2 linked regions of the Xenopus tropicalis genome follow. Each later gene encodes a partner of the first gene's protein in a complex. Links are inferred from orthologs where the notes say so. Each region holds a gene or a part of one and is shown on either strand. Other genes may lie near its edges.

The links. Proteins that work in one complex are often made in the same cells at the same time.
Region 2: the proteins of dffb (region 1) and dffa are in contact, whole or in part, in an NMR structure (PDB 1F2R), measured with the Mus musculus proteins. The link is inferred for Xenopus tropicalis from reciprocal best matches to the Homo sapiens genes DFFB and DFFA. Residues at the interface, in NP_031885.3 of Mus musculus: Cys10, Lys12, Arg14, Ala19, Cys20, Lys21, Phe22, Gly23, Val24, Ala25, Ala26, Arg39; in NP_001020467.1 of Mus musculus: Asp66, Thr68, Ile69, Val70, Asp71, Asp72, Asp74, Tyr75, Trp94, Tyr96, Asp100.

Annotation. Positions count from the first base shown.
Region 1 is NC_030683.2:96,870,744-96,874,755, forward strand, and holds the start of dffb (DNA fragmentation factor subunit beta), read left to right. Parts: upstream 1-1,153; 5' UTR 1,154-1,157; coding exon 1,158-1,292; intron 1,293-2,836; coding exon 2,837-2,963; intron 2,964-3,545; coding exon 3,546-3,734; intron 3,735-4,012. UniProt on the Homo sapiens protein: Nuclease that induces DNA fragmentation and chromatin condensation during apoptosis. Degrades naked DNA and induces apoptotic morphology.
Region 2 is NC_030683.2:64,041,868-64,046,154, forward strand, and holds the start of dffa (DNA fragmentation factor subunit alpha), read right to left. Parts: upstream 2,801-4,287; 5' UTR 2,734-2,800; coding exon 2,637-2,733; intron 1,831-2,636; coding exon 1,669-1,830; intron 801-1,668; coding exon 649-800; intron 1-648. UniProt on the Homo sapiens protein: Inhibitor of the caspase-activated DNase (DFF40).

The sequences.
Region 1 (4,012 bases):
GGTTGACTTCTAAAATCCAATTTTATTGGGAATCCCCTATTTCAGTGAATTAAGTGACATCATTAAACACCATTTATACAGGTAATAATTTACCCCCCACTGTAAAATATGAGGGTATTAAAAGTCACCAAGGCATTTCAAAAAACATATAAAAGGAATAAGGTCATGGAATTCAAAATAATTTCTAAAAGTACACAACTTTTGGACAGTCATGTGATGCTGATGACTTCACTGAGCACTGATTATAAGTGATGACATCACTGAGCTCCATTTATAAGGCTATATTTACAGAATGTTCAAGGATCCTGAGTATTATAAGGGGGGAGATGTGAAAAACCAATACTTTTGCTGAAATTATTACATAACTGCCAGGCACCATCATGGTCAATGTAATTTCACTGCAGATGCTGGAAGAACAAACATTCTTTATTGAATGTAAGAAGTTTCTCCAATCTTATTCTCACATAACAATAAAGGTGATGAGTTGAACTAAGGGAACAGATTAATGGCAATACCGGGCAGCCCTGTGTGGAACTGGGGTGGCCAGTAGCCAAGCAAAGATACATACGTGTTAGCGCATTAAAAGTGATGTGCAGCTAACACACCCTGTTATCCTAATGCTGCCCATGGAACACACTGGGATATTAAACCAGTTAATTATCTGTAGAGAAGGCAAGTCAGCCCCTCTGCCCAAGTCACTTACCGGGCTCTAAACCCTTTGACGCAATGAGACAGGAAAGCGGCGAATGCTGGGAACTCCTTTAGGTCAGCGCAATAATCCCCCCAGGCTCAAGCACAGTTACTCACAGCAGAACAACTTCACCGGTTCTATTCCAGGGCGAGCTTCCTGTCACCACACAACGCCTGAGTTTTTTACTGATGCCCAAAATATCAGCATCCGAGTCCCAGAGGCGCTGTACAATTCCAGCCCCTGTTCCCCTGATCCTTCTCTCCCATTTTCATCTCCATAACCACCGCTTGACAACAACCTAAGCACAGCGCAAGCGCGAAATGACGAACGCAAAGACTTCTGGGATATGGAGTTCGCCGAGGTTCTAGGTTCTGCAGCAGAATGTGGCGAGTGCGCATGCGTTGTCTTCTTAGCGATAAGAATAACAGGAAATGCTATGAATGTAACTAGTAACAAGTGCGGCAATATGGGCAGTAATTGTACATCTACCGAGAAAAAGATCCGGTGTTATAAAATCAGGACATTGCACAGCCAGCAGAAGTACGGAATTGCCTGCAAGAACCTGGCAGAGCTAAAGCAGAAGGCATGCAGGAAGTTTCAGGTGGCTACTGACTGCCATTCAGTGTTTGTATGTGTAAGGGCACCGGGATATGGGCTCTGCTGCCCACACACCCGCTGTTTCGGTCCTGAGGGGAGAGAATGGGATTGACATTATTTTGGTACCCAAGCGGTTGGTTGCTAAGGGACTTCTGTTGGGTTATTCATTTTGCTCTAGTTTGGGTACTTTAAGGGCAAAACTGTTGTTTTGCACAATAAAAGGAAATGTAATTCTAAGTAACTTTTACCTTTTTATTATACATTTGGTTATACTTGGTTATAATGATTTTTAATGATATTTGTAGATGTGATTGCAACCGAAAGCAGGATTTGTTATTGTTATGCCTTCATTTTCTCTGGTTCTAAATATTAAAGCAATGTAGCCCAAACCAATTTCCTCTGTGTCTGTTGATTAGCAGGAGTCAGAAGCAGCAGTGCAGAGCATATAAACTGCCAGACAGATGCTGAAGCAGTTAGATTTATTAAAACCTTTATTGGAACATTGTAAGTAATGTACCGTATATACTCGAGTATAAGCCGATCCGAATATAAGCCGAGGTACCTAATTTTACCTAAGAGAACTGGAAAAACTTATTGACTCGAGTATAAGCCTAGGGTGGGAAATGCAGCCGCTACTGCTAAGTTTCAGTAATCAAAATAAATACCAATAAAATGACATTAATTGAGGCATCAGTGGGGTATATGTTTTTTAATATTTATTTCAAAGAAAAACAGTAAACTAGCTCTGTAAGCGGAGAAGAGGGTCAACAAAAACAATATGAGTTCTACCCCACGCTCATTGCACATTGGCAAACTGGCAGCAGACCCAGTCCCGGAGAACACGTAAGGGCAAATAAGTATTGCTAGTGGGAGTGGGCCAGGGCACTTGAGGGTCTGGTTGCAGGTGGCCTAATTTGCACACAAAGGACAGAGGGTGCTAGTCTGGAGGGACCCATGGCACCTGACTCAAGTATAAGCCGAGGGTGACTTTTTCAGCACATTTTGGGTGCTGAAAAACTAGGCTTATACTCGAGTATATACAGTATATGGCAAAGAGTGGGCTTTTTATTGACAGTGGCTGGTAATGCCCTTTAAAATGGCAGAACATAAACAATGGATGGTAGTGGCTATTAGTTAACAGGTGCAGTTGGGCAGCTTTGTACACGGCTCTGTTCTGTGCTGGGTGGCAAAGGGCAAAAACTAATGACCAACTCTAATGACTGCTCCTAGGCATGGTAAGGCAGTATCCCTTAAATAACCACTTGAACCTGTTGTTGTCCTTCAACAAATATTTGTACAGGGCATCCTAAGCAATCAGTACCCATGTGTGCTTATGTCACTTAACTAGTCTGTGTTGTCCAAATATCATTTGCAGTTGATCCTAATTTTTTTCTTTAATTGTGGCTTTTTTGGTTAAGGACAGACTTGAATAAAAAGTAATACAACAATAATAATATGGGCTCACAGTAAGTTAGCAGTGGTTGCTAGGGTCCCTTATGCTTGGATACATCCTTAATTGTTATGCTAAATAGTTGTCTTATTTTCCAGCTGGATTGTCCCACGACCTGTGTGTGCTTGTATGAGGATGGAACAGAAGTGAGTGAAGAGTACTTGGAGACGGTGCCAGATAATACAGTGCTTTTGTTGCTGACTCCGGGGCAGACATGGCAGGGTTGTAAGTCAGGCTTTACTCTATGTTAGGGCATGAGCAGAAAATGATAAGTTCTGCATATTCTTTTTAATTTACTTGGGATCAGCTTTCAATTAGGCCATTCTCATGTATGACCAAATGCTGCTACTAGGAAAGGGTGACCAACTACCATTTACCTATACTGCAAAGGAACAGACTAATAAGAAATGGGTTAAGCCATCCCCATGTTCAATTTCATTAACATAACTAGGCAAATGGACAATTTAAAACTTTAGGGTTCTCTGTATATTGTGTTGCATTATATTTTCTTCTAGAATTCCAACAGTACCACTTTTCAGTTGGGCAGTAGGATATAATTATGAGTATTTTTTCCTAGCATAGTTATGTGACAGGAGACTGCAATGGAAGAACACATGTATATTTATTATAGAAAGAAACGTCTAATGGAATTGGACCAATGGCTCAATCACAGTGGGATCTGCTGAGGGTTTCATGAAATTGTTTCAGTTTATATTGTTTGCTAAGCTACATTTTGTATTGCCACACATTGATTTGGCATCTTCTCACTGTGTTCTTCTTTCTTTGTTATTTGTTTCTTATCTAAAGATGTTTCGGACATTGAGCGCTTCCTAAATGCATTTTATGCAAGGCAGACGTGTATTGTGGAGGCAGCACATAAATTGTTGGCAGATGAGGATGCTCCCAAAAGACAAAAGCTACTTGTAGATTTCATTAGTAACCTGAATGAAAATATCTTGGCAGAGAATCGTAAAGATGATGAATCGTGGTTTGAAGGTAAAATCCTGACTTTTCTGATGCAGCCTACTTAGATACAGTTAGTTATCCCTGTCAGGAGTCACAGAATATGTAGCACTGCATGAAGAAAGCACTGCCAATCCTTTGAGGGGACACCAGGTCAGTGCTGAAATTCAGGACCACATTTGATATAATACAGCTGCTCTATAATGGAAATTCAATGCCAAAATTGTGAAAATCAGCCCATGTGTTGCTAACTCTCTGCAGTCTTAGAGAACCCCACCCAAAAGTGATAATTCATTGGCAGGTTCCTAAAG
Region 2 (4,287 bases), about 33 Mb from region 1:
CATAGAATTCTTAATAATTAATAATTCTTAATAAAAGTTAGTGTAGGACCTAACTCTGCATGCACAGTAGAGTGAAGGCTCAACTTAGAAATGAAAAGTCAGCTTTTTCAGCCTAGTGCGCAATGCCTGCACCCTACAAAAGGAAGTGAGAAGAAGAAAGATTGTGCCAAATAACTTCTGCAGAAACACCCATGTCCAGTGCAGTTTTCTGCTAGCAAGAGCACCGGCCCAGGGTATCAAGTAAGCTATTACAATTATGAGGGGTGCCTAACATTTGCCCCCCCCCCCCCCCCCATGATTGAGACAGTGTCAAAATATCACTGAAATATAATAACCCCACCAGAGCTCAACAAGTAATTTTGTTTGGTAATAATACTTAATACTTTAATGCAAATGGGAGGATAGTCTATAGAAAATTTCCCCCAAGTGGCAAGTCCACAGAAATGGTTGGACAGTAAGTTTAATAATAACCAAAATAAGGTATTTGCCTGTAATATTTGTGAAGTGAATAAGAAATACCCCTGACATTAATTGTAACATTATTAGATTATAATGTAAATTGTTAGATTATAATGTAACAATCATCTTATATTTAAGAAACATTTTACAATATACTGTTTCATAGATGCTAACACTATGCTTAAATACCTGAAGTTCAGATTCTGACATAAGAATGATGTTAGACAGATCTTCTTTAAGCTGCAAAGCCAAGTTTTTCCATCTTGTTAAATCTGCACCATCAACCATATTCTCATCTTCTACCTCCATGGAATCCCTTGCTAACCATGCAGTTCCTCCATCTGGAACAGGAATGTTGCACAGTTAAACAGCTGCAAAATCTTTAACATTGGTCTTTGGAAACTTCTTGTGGAAATACTGAAAACAGCAACAGTGACCCCTTCTTGAATAGAAATGCTCTGTTAAAATTTATACAGGAAAGAGATGTCTCTTTACTTCGTATAAAGCACTCATGTTTCTTGTCTGATATTTTTCTGTCCTGGTTCAGCTTTTTTTTTTTACATTTTCTTAAAGAAAAAATATACCATCCATTTTGTAACCAACTTATTTAGTTGGGTTATGTAAACCAGGTGCACAAAACATCGTAATCATTAAAAATAATTTTAATAAATATTTTTTTTTTAATACATTAAGCCCTGCAGTTCATAAGAACCCATTTCCAACTGCCCACAGTGGGCACAGTGTAAGGAAGGATCACTGGGGTGCCTAATAACTTGGCACCCCATGTGATTCTAGTAGCATGCTTACTGCCCCTAGGTACTAACCCTAATGGTCTCCACTCTTTTGGTTGTAGCAAACTACACAATATAAATCTACTGTCCTACTTTTACTCCCACATTACTAGGAGAACAAAGTGATCCACTGTACATGCAATTTTTCGGCTTCCCCCACATATTTTATAAAATATAAGGCTGCAGGATTGTGATATAAGAAAACAAAGACAATTTCAGACTGCGGTGAGAATGAGCTAGAATTGCAAGACTGGATCAAAGCTGAATGCTACATGAATGAGAAGATACTTACGATACACAAGAAATAGCTGCGATAATTTTAAACATTAATTTAATATTTTCCAAAAATATTTTACTATGACAACAGTGTCCCTTTTAGGGCAGTCCAGTGTTTAAAATATAAAGAATGTAACTTTACCTAATGTTGTGGGAGCCCACTTCTTGTTGCCAGTCAAGATCACAAACTTTGTGTTAGGAGGTAAGCAGAGAAAGTAGTCTTCATCTTCAACAATTGTGCCATCCTCTGCAAGGACAAGTGTGATGGGCTCCACTGATGAGTCAAGAGAAAACTTCTTACATGCTAAAGAAGAAAAGTGTGATACTAGTAAACATGATGTGACATTAGAAACTGATTAAATAATGAATATTAAATATACTGATTCCTACCTAGTTTATTAAAATAATATATTATTATCAGATCATACTTATAAAGGGTCAACAAACTCTTCAGCGCTGAGTATTCCAAATACAGGTATGGGATCTACACCTTGCTCTGTTTTTGTGGGGTTTTTTTTGGTATATGTAATCTTTCTGTAATTTGAAGATTACAGAAACTATGGTATTGTTTTGCTATCAACAGACATATGCTAGCTTAGGTATTAAGTGCAGGTCCTGTTTAATTATTAGAGAAAATGCAAATACATAAAAATGAAGTATTGCTTGTATAAATAGGACTTTTTGGGAAAAGCCAGTGTCCTGCTTCAGACATTTTTGGATAACCAGTATCAAATTATGCACAGGATATTATGTAAGTAATTGTATTTTTCATATGACATATATAGAAGATTTGTTAATAAAATGCCTTGCTGTCAAAATAAATATCTTTGACAAAGAAAACAAAGACGCAGACTTAGTTGTAAAACAGTCATATCAATGTATTTCAGCATGAAAACGTCAAATTCCAACACTACTGCTATTTATAACTAGCCACATCATCGTTATATTTATAACATGTAATCACCACACTTTATCAATACCTACTATAATATGTGAAATATTGAGCTGTCATATACATATATAGGCAGGCAACTGTGGACATCACACTACACATTTGACATCACTACGCGCACCTCTGTTTCCAACTAAAAACACAACCCACGCTCACACCTTTCTCCAGAAGTTCCTCAAGAGAAGCCGCTGCTACGCCATGTCTGTCTTTGCTTCCTGGAAGGCTAACAACACAAGCTTTCTGAAAACTCGCCATCTCCCTAAGGAGGATTTGTTTGACGTTTTCTGCACTTGAACTCGCAGTCTAAGGAACTTCCGCATTCTAGCCGCGCGGTGCATATAGGGAAATGTAGTCTTACAATAGGAGATTCTCTAACATTTCTGGTGTGTGCCAGAGTCTGAATTAAGCATCGTTTTCTGCCTGTTTATAGCTGGAACTTTTTTGTTGTTTTTTAAGAAGTTGTTCTTAGAAAGTCTTTGATAAGTTGTGTAGTTAGGGGTACTATACACCCCTTTTCAACATGGGTTCAGCTTTGTGCTGAGTGTAACTTTTGCTTGCCTATTTTTGTATTTATTTATTTACTTAAGAAATATACATGCACTAAACAGAATGAAACCAATTTTACTTTCTAGCTTACTGTTAGGAAATAAACCATTTCTTGTTTCTACTGAGCAGATGAAAAGTTGATATTGTATGTATGTATAGCTTTATAAATCTGGTTTTCACCTTTAAATTAACCTTTAACAGTATAGTGTGGTGCTTATCTGATACAATTAGCAATGTTTTCATTTTTTTTTATATATGTCTTATATCACTGTTTGTTCAGAAGCTCTCCAGTTTGGAATCTCAGGAGCTATCTGGTTGCTAGGGTCCAAAATACCCTAGCAACCAAGCAGTGGTGTGGGTGAGAGATTGGAATATGAATAGGAGTAGCCTGAATAGGATAAGTAATAAAAGGTAACAATAACAATAAAACTGTAGCCTCACAGAGCAATAGTTTTTTTTTTTGCTTCTGGAGTAAGTGACCCCCATCTGTAAGACAGAAAGAGTCAAAAGAAAAATGCAAATAATTTGAAAACTATACAGAATAAGAAATGGAGACCAACTAAAAAGGTGCTAAAAATTGCTAATTTTGAAACATGCTAAAAGTGAACTTAAAACACAGCAATGCCAAAAAAATAAAGCAATTTAAAGTAATAAAAAATAAAATGTACTGTTGCCCTAAACCGGTAGAAGCTGTGTGGTTGCATTATAAAGACTACTATTGTTTATATAAACAAGCTGCTTTGTAGTCATATATAAGTTGGTAAACACTGCTAATTTTGACAAAGCTTTGCAGTATGGTAGTTGGAATGAAAAAAACAAATGTAACAATTTTGAGTACGGTATGTTACAATATTGTATGTATTTTCCAAAAATATATGGTTTCTTTGTATAATATTAGTGGCATATTGCAGTTTGTTAACTAGTAAGTATTCTGATATCTGAGCAGTGAAAATACTGTAGTGGAAGTTTTGTGACCCGTACAAGTCAGAAATCTCAATAAAATTATACTTATGTGTTATTTGTGCACTTGGGAGACTAGAGGCTTTCCAAATCTTGCATTTTCAAGAATATAATGCATTATATTTCTGAAATATGTTTCTATATTTGAAAACTATTTAATGCTTTCAGTTTTTAGGTAAATGTATAGCTTTTTTTTTGGAATTACAAAAAAATTTAAATTTAAGAAAGCTAAAGTTGTCCTGACAAAAGCAGTAGTGTTCCCAGGTAAACAAAGAAATCTTCTAGGCTCCTAAAAGCAGAAAA